Linked DNA regions of Oryctolagus cuniculus. The protein of the gene in region 3 interacts with the protein of the main gene of each other region in a pairwise test. Links are inferred from orthologs where the notes say so. Each region holds a gene or a part of one and is shown on either strand. Other genes may lie near its edges.

Evidence for each region.
Region 1: the proteins of ARL6IP1 (region 3) and GAD2 interact in binary tests that used the Homo sapiens proteins (3 or more experiments, as listed by UniProt). The two-hybrid records come from large-scale screens. The link is inferred for Oryctolagus cuniculus from reciprocal best matches to the Homo sapiens genes ARL6IP1 and GAD2.
Region 2: the proteins of ARL6IP1 (region 3) and SHMT2 interact in binary tests that used the Homo sapiens proteins (3 or more experiments, as listed by UniProt). The two-hybrid records come from large-scale screens. The link is inferred for Oryctolagus cuniculus from reciprocal best matches to the Homo sapiens genes ARL6IP1 and SHMT2.

Annotation. Positions count from the first base shown.
Region 1 is NC_091444.1:103,723,780-103,729,278, reverse strand, and holds the start of GAD2 (glutamate decarboxylase 2), read left to right. Parts: upstream 1-2,191; 5' UTR 2,192-3,039; coding exon 3,040-3,115; intron 3,116-3,732; coding exon 3,733-3,792; intron 3,793-3,938; coding exon 3,939-4,088; intron 4,089-4,734; coding exon 4,735-4,968; intron 4,969-5,499. UniProt on the Homo sapiens protein: Catalyzes the production of GABA.
Region 2 is NC_091442.1:59,865,712-59,871,210, forward strand, and holds the start of SHMT2 (serine hydroxymethyltransferase, mitochondrial), read left to right. Parts: upstream 1-1,695; 5' UTR 1,696-1,790; coding exon of another isoform or gene 1,791-1,823; intron 1,824-2,809; coding exon of another isoform or gene 2,810-3,007; intron 3,008-3,435; coding exon of another isoform or gene 3,436-3,515; intron 3,516-3,681; coding exon of another isoform or gene 3,682-3,853; coding exon 3,854-3,882; intron 3,883-4,178; coding exon 4,179-4,260; intron 4,261-4,434; coding exon 4,435-4,557; intron 4,558-4,637; coding exon 4,638-4,777; intron 4,778-4,979; coding exon 4,980-5,145; intron 5,146-5,326; coding exon 5,327-5,426; intron 5,427-5,499. UniProt on the Homo sapiens protein: Catalyzes the cleavage of serine to glycine accompanied with the production of 5,10-methylenetetrahydrofolate, an essential intermediate for purine biosynthesis.
Region 3 is NC_091450.1:20,961,526-20,967,024, reverse strand, and holds the start of ARL6IP1 (ADP-ribosylation factor-like protein 6-interacting protein 1), read left to right. Parts: upstream 1-2,092; 5' UTR 2,093-2,246; coding exon 2,247-2,282; intron 2,283-4,211; coding exon 4,212-4,345; intron 4,346-4,815; coding exon 4,816-4,935; intron 4,936-5,499. UniProt on the Homo sapiens protein: Positively regulates SLC1A1/EAAC1-mediated glutamate transport by increasing its affinity for glutamate in a PKC activity-dependent manner.

The sequences.
Region 1 (5,499 bases), on a different chromosome or scaffold from region 3:
GCCTTGCTGGGGCTGGGGGCTGGGGGCAGGGGTAGGGAGGGAATGTTGGAGGGGAGAGGGGTCACCCCGGGCTGCCCATATCCAGGGAGCTGCAGAGCCCTGCGGACGGAGTGTAGAGGAGGGGAAGCGTCCGTAACTCGCGGCGACCCGGGGCCCTCGGCCCTAACCAGCCTTTCACCCAGGCCGGAGACCCTCGAGGGGCAGCAAACCGAGCTGCGCCGAGCTGCAGTTGCGTCTTTGAATCCAGACCTCCCGGGCGGCCCGGCGGCCCGGCCTTTCGTGGCTGGGATGCGGGAGATGACGGAGCCGCTCCCGCCAGCCACACTCACACTGCCAAAAAGCGAGACTGGAGACACAGAGCTCGGCGGGAGGGTGCCATGTTTTTGTTTCCTTTTAGGCTTTCTCTCGCTTGCTTTCTTTTCCTGGGCCCTCTTCTTTGGCCCCGGACGGCGGCGAGATCCCAGGGCGAAACGGAGCCCAGAACAGGTACTGGGTCGTCCAAGGAAGGGCCTTGGACAGCCGCCCCCTGCGCGGCCCGCCTCTGCGCGCTTCGCTGGCTGCCTCCTTTGTGCGCTAATGACCGTAATTATGAGCTCCCTGCCTTCTTTTGTTATCTGCAACCCGGAGCGCCAGCAAGAGGGTGAGCCGGCTCTTTTGCGAAATCCAAGTCTTTACCAAGCCAACCGCTGTCTAGGCAGCGTTAAAGGAAGACAAATTGGGTATCCCCGTCTGCCTCTCAAGTAACGTGTGTGTTTATAAATAAAAAAGGGGAAAAATAGGAATAACACCGTGAGACTTAAAGTATTCGGAGCTAGGGGGTTTCATGGAGTTTAAACAGAAGCATTGTAAATCATCGCCTTACCAAAAAAATAAATAAAATAAAAATGTGGAGGGGATTTCTACCTTCCTCGTGTTTTAATCCGTTTCTGCCTCTGTGGGCGCGCGCGCTGAACGCTTGTTTTAAATTCTCGACCACTCATCCCTAGTGGAAAAGTTCCTGCTGCCTTGAAGCAAAGTATTTGCCGAATTTGGCGTGGAGTTCATCAAAGAAGCAGTCTCCCCGGCTCGTATCTGCGCGGCTGGATCGAGAGCCGCGGGGCTGCCCTAGCTGCGGCGCGCACAGCTGAGCCACGAAGTCTTTGCGTTCCCGGAGTTGTCGCCTGGCCAGCTGGAACACTTGGAGCCGGGAGGGCGGGAAAGCGGGGCCCAGCCAAAGCCTGCGTGCCTGACCGCCGCGCCCCTGCAGCCCTGCCGGAGCTGCTCCACACTGCCCGGCTCAGCGCCACGCCCTCCGCGGCTCCACCACCAGTGCGCTCCCCGCGCTCACCCCCCGCCCCAGGACGGCGGCCACAGGGCGTATCCGATGGCTCCTGCCGGATCCCCAGCACTCGGGCACGCAGGGAGAGAACAAAGCTTTGTGGAGAGCATTGGCCCGGGGACAGTGCGCTTGGGGACGCAAGCTGTGGGCCTGCGCGTGGTCCCCTCGGACCCCACGACTCCTACTCCCGAGCAAGCGTCGAGGGGTGGTAGCCGAAACTGAGAAACCGATCTGATAACTGGCTAGGGAGGTCTGGGAGAACCGCCCGCGAGCCCGAAGGAAATGAGGAAGGCTCCCGGGAGGCGCCGGCGGGCAGGTGCCGCGGGAGGCCGAACGCAGTCCTTTCCCTCCCGGGTCAGTCTCGGAGCAGCCAAGGTGCATGTCAAGTTGATCTCGGCCGCCCAGAGAAAGCAAAAAAGAACTCGGGGAACCCAGACACTCTGGGCGCATTCCCAGCGTCGGCAGCTTTTAGAAAAAAGAAATCATCGCGGAGAAAAGATGCTTTCTCCTCCTTAGAAAATGAGGAACCTCTTTCCCACCCCAGAACCTCGGAGACAGCAGATCCCACCCACCGTGAAGAGTCTCTTGGGGCGCAGGGATCGTTGGTTTGGGATCCCCTAAAAAACGAGGGCCCGGTGGATGGTGTCTTTGCTCGGATCTGGAAAGCCCAGGCTGCATAGCTGGAACCCCGCGCGCTTCTCCCCACCACGCTGCGAGCAGCAGGCGCATCCACGCCTGTCCAGCCAAGGTCACCCAGTGACCTCATCCCCCCGTCTGCCATCAACCCCGCCGGCGTTGGCCACTCTCCCCTGCTCCCTCCCAAGAAGCGTCGGTGCGTTTTATGATTTTATTCCTAGCCGGAGGTCGTCGGTGACAGACCCCAGCGTGGATTTTGAACCTGGACAGAGGGCGCGGCCACCCAGCGCGGGACTGCGCAGGAGCGGCGCGCCCCAGGACAGGCTTCGGGCTCTGCTAAGGAGCTGAAACGCGCCCACCCGTGCGTGGGCGCTGTTCCTCTACCTCCTCCTTCCGGAAGCTCGTCGTGACCGGCGCCCGATTCTGGCTCTGCGGTCGCCACGACCTCAGTACTCGCTTGGAGAAAGGCGGCGCGGGAACCGCGCTTCCTTCCACGCAGCAGGAGCCACGCAATACGCCCCTCGGGGCACCAGTGAAACAGTAGCAGCCACCTTCCACGTCCTCCCTGTTGTGTGCCCCTGGCGGAGGTCCGTGCGCGGCCGGCCTCGGTAGCACCCTGGACAGCGCGCTCTGGCGGGCGGGGGCTCACGCGCCTGCACGCCTCCCACTGGGGCCTCTGACTCAAGCTGGCGCGCGCAGTCAGCCTCGCACCCTCGCCCTCGCCCACGTCCTCTCTCCGCCGCCCCCTCAGCCATCCCCACTAAGCTCCCTCCCGGCGCCCTGTACTTTCCACTGTCCGGGTCCCCCTGACTCCTTCCCCATTGAACCTGCACGGCTTCCAAAGCGTGTCCAGATCCCTAAGCCCGACCCGCCGCGCGCACCCGCGCAGGCAGACACGCACGTTGGCTGTCCCTGTGTGACACCCACCCTCGCCGCGCGCGGTGCCCCCTCCCGCCACACACACACACACACACAACACACACAACACACATACGCACGCGCGCGCGCGCGCACCGGGCCGAGCTGGTGGCAGCTTCCCCAGCAGCTCGCACTCGGAAGCAACCTGCTCCCGGCTCGCAGCGCTGATGGCATCTCCGGGCTCCGGCTTCTGGTCCTTCGGGACTGAAGATGGCTCCGGAGACCCCGAGAACCCTGGCACAGGTACGAGAACGGGAGACGGCATGAGGCGAGATCTGCGGGTGCCCTGGGGTGTGCATGCCAGGGAGGAGAGAGGAGGCAGGGGAAGACTCCCTGCATCAGAAAACTTCCTTAGCCCTGCTCCAGGGCTAAGTCCTTGGCGGCCCCAGGAAAGACGTCCAGGAGCCTCAGGCTCCTTCATCCCCAAAGACGACGGCACCTCCAGGACACCGAATCCCGGGGGCCTGGGACGCTGGGGAGGGGCGGAGTGGCGGCTGAGAAAGTGGGGAAAATGCGAAAGAGGAAGAGGATTTTTAGGTCTGGAAACAGCATGCGAGGACATGGACATCCTGGGTGCCTAGGCGGGGAGGAGAGCTTCCTTGGCCGATGGGCATTTGGTGGGTGAGGGTGGAGGGCCGTGGCTTGGGCTCCTCCTTGCGAAACAGATGCACGGACTGAATGGAGGGCCAGCCGCGCTGCGAGGCTCCTGCACGCCTTCCGCACCTGCAGCCGCGCGGAGTCCGGGGAGGCCCCTGCAGGAGACAAGGCGGCCCCTGCCCTGACCCCGCGCGGGTTGGCGGTGTTCACACAGAACGAAATCTCACACCTGCGTCCGCGCTCTCTTTCTGCCCTCCTTGCAGCGAGAGCCTGGTGCCAGGTGGCCCAGAAGTTCACGGGCGGCATCGGAAACAAGCTGTGCGGTGAGTGCCCGGGGTCCAGGGAAGGGCGCGTTGGGGGCGGGCAAGGTCAGGCGCTTGCAGCGCGCGCGCGCCGGGTCAAAGCCACCTTCTCACCCCCGCATCCCCATCGGCTGACCGCAACCCGCGCTCTCCGCATCCTTGCGCAGCGCTGCTCTACGGGGACACCGAGAAGCCAGCCGACAGCGGCGGGAACCAGCCCTCGCGGGCCCCCGCCCGGAAGGCCGCCTGTGCCTGCGACCAGAAGCCCTGCAGCTGCCCCAAAGCGGACGTCAACTACGCCTTTCTGCACGCAACAGGTAAAACGGGCCCGGCCCCACCCACCGCGCGCCAGGTGAGACTCGGGGTCCGGGTATCTAGACCGGGACTCAGGGGGTGAGATCAGAGCGGTGTCACAGAAACTCGATTCTGTTCAAGCGACAGCCGTGTGCGAAGCTGACCCCTACAACTCCCCGTGCATTTGCACGCCCGGTCTCCAAACGCACACGCGCGCGCGTGCATGCACACACACACATCGACGCGGAAAGAGCGGGTCTTCCATGGCCCCGAAACCCTAACGTGCTGGGTTCTGCGCAGCCAGGTGCGCCCGAAGGCACTCCCCAGACACTGCTGATGTGAAAATGCGTCCGTAGGCATCTAAGAGGATTCACTGAGAAGTGACAGTTAGGATGCGCTCCTGGGAACAGACCAATGGAGCCGCGCTCTCTTGTCTAAAGGAAAACGAACAATAAGCTAGGAATTGAAATTGCAAGAATTGATGAGGAAGGGAAGAGAAGTCGTATTTCCTCTCATTGATTGCTTTCCTCTGTGAAAAGTGATCCCTTTACAGAAAATGCTCTTTAAAAAAATCGTATAATCTGTTCAAGGAGAAATTGCCCGATCAAGATACTGCCTGCGTGTATTCACGGGTAAATTGAAATGTGGCCTTTTTATTCCGTCCCTCAGACCTGCTGCCCGCCTTCGGGGGCGAGAGGCCCACCCTCGCCTTTCTGCAAGAGGTTGTGGACATTCTGCTTCAGTACGTGGTGAAAAGTTTTGATCGATCCACCAAAGTGATCGATTTCCATTATCCCAATGAGCTTCTTCAAGAGTATAATTGGGAACTGGCAGAGCACCCACAAAATTTGGAGGAAATTTTGATGCATTGCCAAACAACTCTAAAATATGCAATTAAAACAGGTATTGTCCCATTGCAATAATAAAGCTCTTTTTACATTTACGATTTGTATTGTTCCCATGACATGCTTTCCGTTTTGTGGAACTCCTGTTCTTTTCAAACGTGCAATGTTATGTCCATCATTTCAGAAATTGTCCTTAGGAGACTGATTCCAGTCAAAAGCACCTTTTACTAGCGTGATAACTGTTGATGCTTCTGGTAAAATCACAAACGCTAAGTATACATCATCAGCTTTTGTGTTGCATGTATTTGGCCACAGACATCAACCGCTGGTGTAGCAGCAGAGGCCAGTAGAAGCGACCCAAAATGGAGACAGAAAGGGGATATGGAAAGGAAAGATCAAAAGGCATGATTCAAACAAAAGCCTGAATGCTAGTGGGGTGCTGGTCCTTCCCTAGGCACAGAACCACCCAGACACTAGAATAACCACTCGGTGTCACCATCCAGCTGGAGAGAGAATTCTTTGGCTTTGTCTCAATGGCCAAGACTTCAGATCTGAATTCCAGGTTTTTCTCCACACCCACACCAAAACC
Region 2 (5,499 bases), on a different chromosome or scaffold from region 3:
CCAGAAGGCTCGTACTGCCTGAGGAAAGCTGAGCTGGAGTGGCGGGAAGGAGGTTGGAGCTGAGGGTATGACCACTAGGTGGGAATGACTGGAATTAGCAAGGTAGCTCCGTGGGCCTCGGCTTCCTCCCTTGTAACGATGTCGCCGTAAAATCACACGGGGTGGGGGGGAGGAGATGAGACTTTGCTTGGGAACACACTTGTGGGACAGATCAGCTCCTCTTCCTCTGGCTCAGGTACCTGTTTCCTCCAAGGCCACCTCCTCCTCCCCTCCCTGCCCCTCCCCACTCCCTCTGGGCCTCTGGGAGCAGAGTGAGGCATCCCTGCATATTACTGATCTAGACACATGTTGTAACCTGTCCACTTCTTTTTTTAAAAAAAATTATTTATTTGAAAGGCAGAGTTATACACACACACACACACACACATATATATATATATATAGAGAGAGAGAGGTCTTCCATCCTCTGGTTCACTCCAAAATGGGCACAACTGCCAGAGCTGCGCCGATCCAAAGCCAGGAGCCAGGAGCTTCTTCCGGGTCTCCCACGTGGGTGGCAGGGGCCCAAGCACCTGGGCCATCTTCTGCTGTTTTCCCAGGTGCATCAGCAGGGAGCTGGATCGGAAGTGGAGCAGCCTGGACTTGAACCGGCACCTATGTGGGATGCTGGAGCTGCAGGCAGAGGCTTACCCTGCTAAGCCAGGGCGCTGGCCCCAACCTGTCTACCTCTTGATGTCCCAGCAGCCAGTGAGCCCTCCTTAATAACTCCAGTGCCATGCCCAGCTCCCGGCGGAGCCGGAGTTCCATTTGTCAGTTGAATGAATGGATGAATGTGTGTAATATGGCTGTGTGAGGAATGGTTCCCCAAACCACTGCTTTTTAGGTTCCCGGAGGAGAGGTTTGCTTATGTGTTAGCACAAGTGGGCGGAATGCCCACACTTTGTCAACCACCTCTGAGGAGAGGCCTCTCACTCATCTGGGAACTGCCCAGGGGTTTTATCCAGATGAAGGAAGGCTAAGGAGAAGATCCCTCCCGGTTCCCAGGATCTGTGCCTCTGGGGTTGGATATAAAGGCCTTCGCTGGCTGCTGGGACATCAAGAGGCTGATGAACAGGCAACAGAACGCAACAGGTGCATAACAGGAGGGGCTGTCTGCTCTCGGGTTTGTCAGGAAAGGCAGAGGACGGCCTCAGAGGGATCCGGGGTGGCTCAGAAGCAGATCAGCCCCAGAGCACTTCCCATGAATACTGCCAGTCCATCACCCAGCATGTGCTATTTCACTGTGGCTTTACAAGTGAGGAAACTGAGGCCCACACAGGCTAACTTGCTAGTTAGTCCTGGAGCTGGGACTTGAACTCAGGTCTCTCCCCCTTGTAAACCAGGATACCATAACAGCTCTCTGTTTTGTACAGGAGTCTTTGAATCTCCCAGATTGCTAATAATGCTAGGTATTCAGTACGCACCCAATCAACTTGTCTTGACAATCGACAAGAAAATGAAATCCTGAAAAGCTGAACTGTAAGGAGTAGGGTGGCAATGAATCTCTTTTATTCCAGGCAAGGGCTTTTAATCCTGGGACTACAGATGGGGGGAAAGAAGCGGAAGAAACGAGAAAAACTACAATTCCCAAAAGGCTCAAAAGGTCACTATCACGCATGCGTAGATCCCGCCCCTGAAATCTGGCTCGGCGGGTAGATCTCGCGCACGCGCTCTCACATCGGGTCTGTTTCCGACCCCCTGCTACCTCGGGCCAGAGTTGGTGGCTGGACCTTCTGCGACCTGTGGTTGCCATGCTGCCCTTCTCTTTGCTCTGGGCAGTTCGGGTAAGAATGGGGCTCCGGAGGCAGGGTGACTAGTGGAAAAGAACCCCTCCCCCTTCCTAGTTCCCATTCACAAACTCTGGGGTTCTCTTGGCTTTTCCACCGCATGTGCTCATGTATGTATGTAACTAGGGAGTTCCCCGAAACCGCTGGGCACGCGAGGGGTGAGCTGGGGACCCTCGCTGTTCCAGCGTTCAGTCGCCACAGAGCCGCGTGACCGCCCACTTCACGTGGCACGAGGGGAGAGGACCGCGCCGGATGCCCTGGGGACCCTGTACTGGGGAACTAGCTGGGTTCCCGGCCCGGACCAGCAAACCGAACCTTTGCGGCCGGCTCTGAACCATGCACATGATGCAACTGAGCCCCACCGCTTGCATCAGGCAGGGGTCCAGCCAGCGGTAGTGTGGCTGGACGGAGGTGGAAAAGTTAGGGGTGAAGGGAACAGGATATGGTTTTTGGCTTCCCTTTCAGCCAAACAACTCCCCTCCCCAACACGTACCTGTAACCCAGGGGCTGCAGAGGGTCTACCCTCCCACCTCCATCCCTGGGAAAACCACCTCCACAGCCTGTGTGGACTTGGCCTGGGGTAGCAGGTCCCCCACCACCACCCCAGATGGCCCTTTTGTCCCTGTGGGCGGGCAGGTTCTAGAACCTCAGGGGCCCTTTCCTGGGTTTGGGGTTTGGGGAGTACAGACATGGAGGACAACTTTACCCTGGGACTTCACGTAATGGCTTCTGGGGTGAGGTGGAGGGAGTTTCGAAGGAGGTGAGCTGAGTGGAGTGAATCAGTACCACCCCCTGGACCTTGATCTCAACCTTGGTCTGGAACTGGCTTTGAAAGATAGAGGTGGAGGTGGCAAGAACGGGAGCCAGCTGGCTGGACCACTGGCCATTTGGTGTATGGCCAGAGGGCCGTGTGAGCCTGGCTGGGGGTGATTGGGAGACCGCCTGGGTGAGTTGGGATTGACCCTGGCTTTTCCTGCCCCCAGCCTCTGCAGAGATGTGGTCCGCTGGTCAGGACGGCCGTGCGGGCTCAGCACGGCAAGGCGGCGCAGACTCAGACTGGGGAAGCGAGCAGGGGCTGGACCGGCCAGGAGAGCCTCTCGGACACTGACCCTGAGATGTGGGAGCTGTTGCAGAGGGAGAAGGACAGGCAGTGCCGTGGCCTGGAACTCATTGCGTCAGAGGTGGGACCCTGGGAGCGGGGCGTGGAGCAGGTGCAGGACGAAAGAAGTTGTCTTAGTGAGACTTCTGGTGTCCCCTCAGGCCCGGCCCTTTCTGCTGGGCGTGTCTCCTCTTTGGACTGTCCTCTCAAACGACGACAGAGCCAGCCTGCTTAAGGGGATGTGGCATCCAGGCATCCCACAGCCTTCCAGGTCCGCTCCAGGCTCCTCCGCTTCCTCCTGCCCTCCCTGGAGGGAAGAGCAGCCTGGAGGCACGTGTCAGGGTGCACCAGGGGCCTCGCTGGGGACACGCATCGTGGCAGCTGGGGTTCTGAGAATGGTGCCTCTGGCAAGGCACCCTGAGCTCCCTGCGGGGCCCTGGCAGGGTGGGGCTGTGGGGGTCCAGAGGGAGGGACTCCGTGCCGTCTGACCTTGCCCCCCCACCACCCCAGAACTTCTGCAGCCGAGCTGCGCTGGAGGCCCTGGGGTCCTGTCTGAACAACAAGTACTCGGAGGGTTATCCTGGCAAGAGGTGAGGGCGAGGCACCCCAGGGCTGGAGGGCGACATCAGGGCTGGTGCTCCCGACGGGGGACCTACCTGGACCCTCCCGGTGTTTATCGAGGAGTGACCTTGCCAGTCCTTGGCTGCTGGCCCAGGTCCCTTCTCTGGGCCCTTATGCACGCCTCTCCTGCCACAGATACTACGGGGGAGCAGAGGTGGTGGATGAGATTGAGCTGCTGTGCCAGCGCCGGGCCCTGGAAGCCTTTGACCTGGATCCTGCCCAGTGGGGAGTCAACGTCCAGCCCTACTCGGGGTCCCCAGCCAATCTGGCTGCCTACACAGCCCTTCTGCAGCCTCACGACCGCATCATGGGGCTGGACCTGCCTGATGGGGGCCAGTGAGTATGGAGGGGAACAGTGAGGGGGCGGGATTGGGGTAAGGAAGGAGTTTTCTGCCGACACCTGCTGTTCGCGCGCCGTGCGGACGGCACAGGCTTGTCCCTGTCCCATGTGTTACTGTGGATGAGGGACGCGAGACTGGCAGCATCAGAGCCCACCAGAGTGACAGAGCAGGGCGGGCGGACGAGCGGGGAGCTGTGTTCTGGGACAGAGGCCTGGGGAGCTTGGCAGGCAGGGAGTGGCTAAGTCTGGCTCGTTCCACTCTGAGGCCCCCTAACCCTTGCTCCTTTCCCAGCCTTACGCACGGCTACATGTCCGATGTGAAGCGTGTATCAGCCACATCCATCTTCTTCGAGTCTATGCCCTATAAGCTCAACGTGAGTGCTGTGCCACAGACGGGGCTGCTCCAGCCTGGGGCTCCTCTGTCCAGGCGGTAGCAGGGGATGAGGTGGGGGGCTGGAGCCCTGGGCAGCCCTGAGGACCGGGGGGGAGAGGGAGCTGCCCTGCTGCCTCCCTAGGGCTTGAGCTGGCTGTCTGTCTCTCCTGTCTAGCCCCAAACCGGCCTCATCGACTATGAGCAGCTGGCTCTGACTGCCCGGCTTTTCCGGCCGCGGCTTATTATAGCCGGGACCAGTGCCTACGCGCGCCTCATTGACTACGCCCGCATGAGAGAGGTTGGTGGGGCGCCCCGGCCCAGAGGTTTGGGAAGGGGTGCAGCCTTCCCCTGCTGAGGCCTGTCTCCCTACCTGTCCAGGTGTGTGACGAGGTCAAGGCGCATCTGCTGGCAGACATGGCCCACATCAGCGGCCTGGTGGCTGCCAAGGTGATCCCCTCACCTTTCAAGCATGCCGACGTTGTCACCACCACCACCCACAAGACTCTCCGAGGGGCCAGGTCAGGCTTCTCTGCGGGCAGGCCTTGCCCTTCCCCGCCTTCACACCCTGTTCCTGTCCACCCAGTCTGTCCATGGTGGCCATTCCCTGGCAGGGGACGCAGGGGTGGGAAACCAGAACATCAAGCGCGGCCGAGGGGCCCAGGCCGGCCAGCTCCCTCCACCTTCCCCAGCTCAGCCTCTGATCACACACCCTGCACCCAGGTCGGGCCTCATCTTCTACCGCAAGGGAGTACGGACCGTGGACCCTAAGACTGGCCAGGAGATCCCTTACACGTTTGAGGACCGGATCAACTTCGCTGTGTTCCCATCGCTGCAGGGGGGCCCCCACAACCATGCCATTGCTGCAGTAGCCGTGGCCCTGAAGCAGGTGGGCAGCCTGCTCTTGGGGACTGGATGGGGCACACAGGCCCGAGGGCATGGCCTCTGCACCTTGCTAACTCAAGTGGGGGCTGATGGAAGGAAAGTGCGGGAGAGGCCAAGGCTGGAGTCCGGGGGCAGGCTGGGGGTGAAGCCGGGCAGGGCCACAGTTGCTGCTGTCTTACTTGCAGGCCTGCACCCCCATGTTCCGGGAGTACTCCCTGCAGGTTCTGAAGAACGCCCGGGCCATGGCTGACGCGCTGCTGGAGCGAGGCTACTCCCTGGTGTCCGGTGAGCCAGGGAGGATGGATGAGGGTTTTGGAGCTCTGGGTGGAGGCCCAGGACTCACCACGCTCCCATTTTT
Region 3 (5,499 bases):
GGGACTAGAACCCGGTGTGCCAGCGCCGCTAGGCGGAGAATTAGCCTAGTGAACTGCGGCACTGGCCCTCTTTGGCCATTCTTTAAAGTTGGGTGTTAGTATGCCGCTAGCAAGATTGTACACTCTGCTCAACACCTTCACCAGTGTGGCTGCTCATTCTTCGGTCTTTTTGTCCTTTTTCTTCTAAAGACAGAGGAGAGCCTGCTCCTCAAACTCCAGAGCTTTAAAGTCTGCCAAAGCGTGAGCATTAAGCCTGTGTCCCACGTTAGAGTGCATGGGTTCCACTCCTGGTTCGAGCTCCTGATTCCATTTTTGTTTTAAAAGATTTTACTTATTTGAAAGGCAGAGCTAGGCAGAAAGATCTCCCACCCACTGGTTCACTCTCCAAATGGCTGGAGCTGGGCTAATCCAAAGCCAGGAGCTTCTTCAGGGACTCCCGCGTGGATGCAGGGGCCCAAGCACTTGGGCCATCTTTCACTGCTTTCCCAGGCCACAGCGGAGAGCTGAGCAGAAATGGAGCAGCCAGGACTTGAACCGGCACCGCAGATGGCAGCTTTAGCTGCTACGTCATAGCGCCAGCCCCCGATTCAGCTTCTTGCTGAATTGATCCTGGGAGGCATTAGATGATGGCTCAAGTAGTTGGTCCCTGACACCCACATGAGAGACCTGGATTGAGTTCTCCACTCCTGTCAGGTTTTCCCAGCCCCATTTGGCAAAGGAACCAGTGGATGGGAGCTGCAGCTCTCAATGTAAAACAAACGAGGTCTTTATTGACTGTACGTTACCTATACAACCTGAACTTTCCTGCAGCGTCCCCCATAGCAGAGACCTCTAACGTTGGGGAGGCCAGGTGATCGCCCCGCCCCCAAAGATCGCGGTCAGATTTGACACTTCCGCTAAGTTCACAAGGCTCCTGGTTGGTCCAGTTTGCTCAGGGCTTTTCTTTGACTTCCCTGAACTTTTCAGAACCTGGTTGTTATTTGAAGAGTGCTTTCAGGATAAAGTCGGTGGCATTAATACACATGGGTTTATAAGGATAAAGCGTACAGTACTTTCCCTGAGACGAACCTCTGTCTAGGCCAACATTTGGCGTGATTCAGACAAGAGCTTGCTAACGCATTTTGAAGTCCAAGATGGAAAAGATGGAGAAGGATCTCAACAGAGTTCATCCAGCTCTCTCTAATGGAAGGAAGGCGCTATTAATCACTTGGTACAGGGGGAGTTTGTAGTTTAAACCAAGGGGCCCGGCGCTGTGGCTTAGCGGGTAAAGCCGCCGCCTGCAGTGCCAGCATCCCATTGGGTCACCAGTTCCAGCTCTCTGCTGTGGCCTGGGAAAGCAATGGAAGATGGCCCGAGTCCTTGGGCCCCTGCACCTGCATGGGAGCCCCGGAGGAAGCTCCTGGCTCTGAGCCCCCCTACCCGTTGGGGCCACTTGGGGAGTGAACCGGAGAATGGAAGGCCTCTCTCACTCTGCCTGCCTCTCGAATAAATAAATTAAAAAAAAAAAAAATGCCCCATGAAGGATTTCTCTCTCACTTTGACACCCACCCCCACCCAAAGACCTCATTCCTGAATACGCTGCGGCAGAAGCCACATCAACAGCTCCATTCACTGGTTCTCAGAACCTCACGAGGTGGGCACGAGTCACAAATCTGGGTTAAGCCGCTCACAGGCCGGGGACGGCGAGGGACCGCGGCGCTGGGAGACGGACTCGCGGTCGGCCCGCCCCAGCCACTGTCCCGCGCCGCGTGCCCATCTCTGCCCTCCGCCTGACACCGCACACCTCTACGACTACTCAGTTTTCCAGAGGGGTTCCTTAGGCGCTGAGCGGAGCCAACGCCGGGAGGGTCCCGCGGCTACGGTGGCGTCCACTCTCGGCCAACCAAACCTCCGCCGCCGGCAGCGACAGTTGAACCGCTTCCGCGAGCCCTGGGCGGGGCGCCGCACAATCCCTGGGCGCCCATTGGTTATTCCGTTTCCCCGCCCCCTCTGCCCGGCGCGGCCCCTCTCTCCTTTGACCTCGATTTCAAGTCATGCGCTGAGCTGTGGTTGGTGGGGCTTTCCTGAAACCTGCGCTCGATTCACCCAATGAGGAGCGAGCGTCGCGGGTGCTGTCGGGAAAGGCGGCCGGCCTATATAAGCGACCTGCGGGGCGTTCCCTCGCGCTGTGTTCACTGTGCGGGTTTCCAGCGGAGGTTGAGGTTGGAGAGGCGGCTCGGGTTCGCTGAGACGACTCTTGACGGACGATGGCGGAGGGAGATAATCGCAGCACCAATCTGCTGGTGAGTCCCGGAGGCCTGCCCGCAGGAACCGAGCTGGGCCGGCCGGTGGGCTCGGCGGGGACGGTCGTCGCGGCCTCGCTCCTGTCCCCGCCACGGGCCCGTCCCTCCTCGGCCCAGCCCGGGAGACCCCCGTCCCTTCGGGGTTCGTGGGCGGCTCCCGGTGGGCGGTGCGCGGCGGGGCGAGGAGGGCGCGTGATTAGTCACTGCGAGTGGGGGTTGAGGAGTGCGGGACGGGGGCTGCGAGGGGCCGCGCGGTGGCTTTCGGGCCTCGCCGCGGTCCTGTCCGCCTTGGATCTCACCCTGGGCGAGCGCTCGTCCTCCTCCGTCTAAGACTTGAGCGGGGATGGAGGGTCCCAGGGCCACGGCCGAGGATTTCTGTTGGAGCTGGCGCAGCTTACAAGGACAGGGAGGCTGCGAGCTCCCCATGGGGAACCGGGCCTGGGCCTGGAGTTGGGAAGGCCGGGGGCTGGGAGCTCACAGGACGGCTGGAGAGGATCCGGGGGAGCTGCAGCGAGGCCCTGCCTTGGGTGGACGTATTGGATTCGGATTTAACTGCACCGGTCCAGGCAGGACCCGAGAGAGCGTTCCAAGGTCCCAGATGTTGGCGAACTCAGAAGGGCGGCTTGCATTGGGCGTGGTTTTTTGCTTTGCGCTGCTGCTTTCTAAGAGAATCGGTGCAAGCACAGCGAGGCTGTCCAAGTCCTGTTGCAATAGCCGAGTCTCACCTGGAGCCTGGGGTCCCCAGCAGAGCAGCCCGACTGCAGGGACAGCAAGGCCTTTGACTTCCCGGGGCCGACGCTGTCAACTCCTTTGCGTCTCAGTTTCCTTATCAGCGAAACGGGGATGGCAACAACCCCTTCTTTCTAGGGCGATTGAGAGGATCAGGCGAAGTTTAAGGTTCTTGGCACATGTGATCTCTGATTTAACTAGTCGTAAGCGTGAGCGATAAAGCCAGGACACCTAGTTCTAAGGGGAAGTACTCACAGGGACGTTGGGGTTTCCTGTTCCAGTGTTTTCTCCTTTACCAAGATGAGCTTCAGGGAGTTTGTGGCCTGAGCTCGTCTTCAAGGCCCACTTTGGGATGTCAGGGCTGCAGGAACACTGGAAGTCTACCCCGAGCGACAGGAAGCGCTGTAGAATGGCACTTGTAATTTGGAAAGCTGTTTTCCTTAATTTTGCAATGGAGCCCACTATCTCAGTGCTCCCGTTACACAGAGCCGTTTTAGAAGGTGAGTGCGGCTCAGGGGAAGGCTTTCCTAATGGATTGAGAGTAGGATTGAGATGGATGAAGTGAGTGAGCTGCGGGCCAGTTCCCACCACCTGAAATGAACAAACCTGGAGTGGTCTAATCTGATTAGCACTCTGGGTGCTGCCACTGATTGCCTGTCCACGCCTGGGAAGGTTTGGAGCCCACTTGCTTTCACTGTGAAATGAGTCGCATCCCTACATTGCCAGCTCTGTAAGGGTTGAGCTCCATCATGTATGTGAGGAGTCGCCCCGTGCTTGGATTCACTACAGGGTGGGCTCTGCCCAGGAGAAGATGGCCCGAGTCCTTGGGGCCCTGCACCCGCGTAGGAGATGGGGAGGGAGCTCCTAGGCTTTGGATCAGTGCAACTCCAGCAGTTGCAGCCATCTGGAGGGTGACCCAGGGGATGGAAGACCTCTCTCTTTCTCTCTGTCTCTACCTCTCTCTGTAACTCTTTCAAATAAAATCTTAAAAAAAAAAAAAAAAACAAGGAGAGGCTTCCCCTAGCCCCCTGGTTGATTCCCATCTTTGGTACAAAATTGCAGAGTTCCTCAGAAAGGAAACTGTTGAAGATTGGAATGAGGAGGTGTTTCACCTATTGATTGGCCTTGGGAAGATGTAACTGTTAGAACCACGGAGATGCTGAGTGATGAAATGGCCGCTTTCCCTTCTGCCCCGTGTAGGCTGCAGAGACGGCGAGTCTGGAGGAGCAGCTGCAGGGCTGGGGAGAGGTGATGCTTCTGGCCGACAAAGTGCTGCGGTGGGAGAGAGCCTGGTTCCCGCCTGCCCTCCTGGCTGTGGTCTCCCTGGTGTTTCTGTAAGTGAGCCGGGGGACTCCATGGGCTGCGTGCGCTTGGTAGCGCTGAAGGCTCTGTTCAGGGCAGCACCTTAATGAAGCCTTTTGTAGCCTGTAATCCATCAAGAATGCCTTTTCTTACAAGCCGTGCTGGGTTTCCACAGTTGGTAGTACTTATGTAAGCTTGGTAACTTGACGCAGTTGAATAACTCGGTGACTCTCAAGCCTTTTGGCTCAAAACCATTACCATCTTACCATTACAATCTTAAAAAGTACTGGGGGTTTCCGAAAGCCTTTGTAGGTTGGTATTTATATCAGCCACTGCGGCTGTGACGTCATCATGCTATGAAGCCTCTGGAAACCACTGGTGAGGAAATTAGTGCCAAATAACGTCTCTGAGAACCACGGCACTGAGTGAATTGTGAAATTAAGCATCTGCAGCCAGGCATAATACTGGCTGTTTTCTAAGCTTCTTTAATTTTTTTTAACAGGATTATCTACTATCTGGACCCATCTGTTCTGTCCGGTGTTTCCTGCTTTGTTATGTTTTTGTGCTTGGCTGACTACCTTGTTCCCATTCTAGCACCCAGGATTTTTGGCTCCAATAAATGGTAAGTGACACAGTGATTTGCCGGTTTAATTTCAGAGGCCTTCCTGAACCTGGTGGCCGTGGCTACTGTGCTGTGATTAAGTGCAGAGCCTTGTCGAATCATTCAGGCGTTTTCACCTTCACCCGTGTGGTTTAAACTTACATTTACTGCCACGGGCTTTCTGAAGGTACAGTTTCAGTGAGGACTAACAAACATCTCAGTGAGCTTTCCCTAACAGGTGCACATTTCCATTTCTGTTGATATTTGAGGTGATCAGCTATTTCACAAACTATTCTTGAATAAATAGGAAAAGGTAACTGGTCGACTGTAGTCCACAGTCATGTAGTGACCAGGAGCAGTCTGCTGGGTGAGACACTTGTCTCGGTGCTGTGAAATGTTTGGACCTTTAAGTTTCAAATATCAAAAAGAAGCTTCCTCCACTAAATTGCCTTTGTCATTATGAGAAACCAATATATACTATGTTAAAAAATGCCCAAAGCATTTAAGAAAGAACTTAAACTAGTGTATTTGCTGTTGGTTATGGGCCCTCCCCACAGTTATCTTTATTTTTTTTAAGTTTTTATT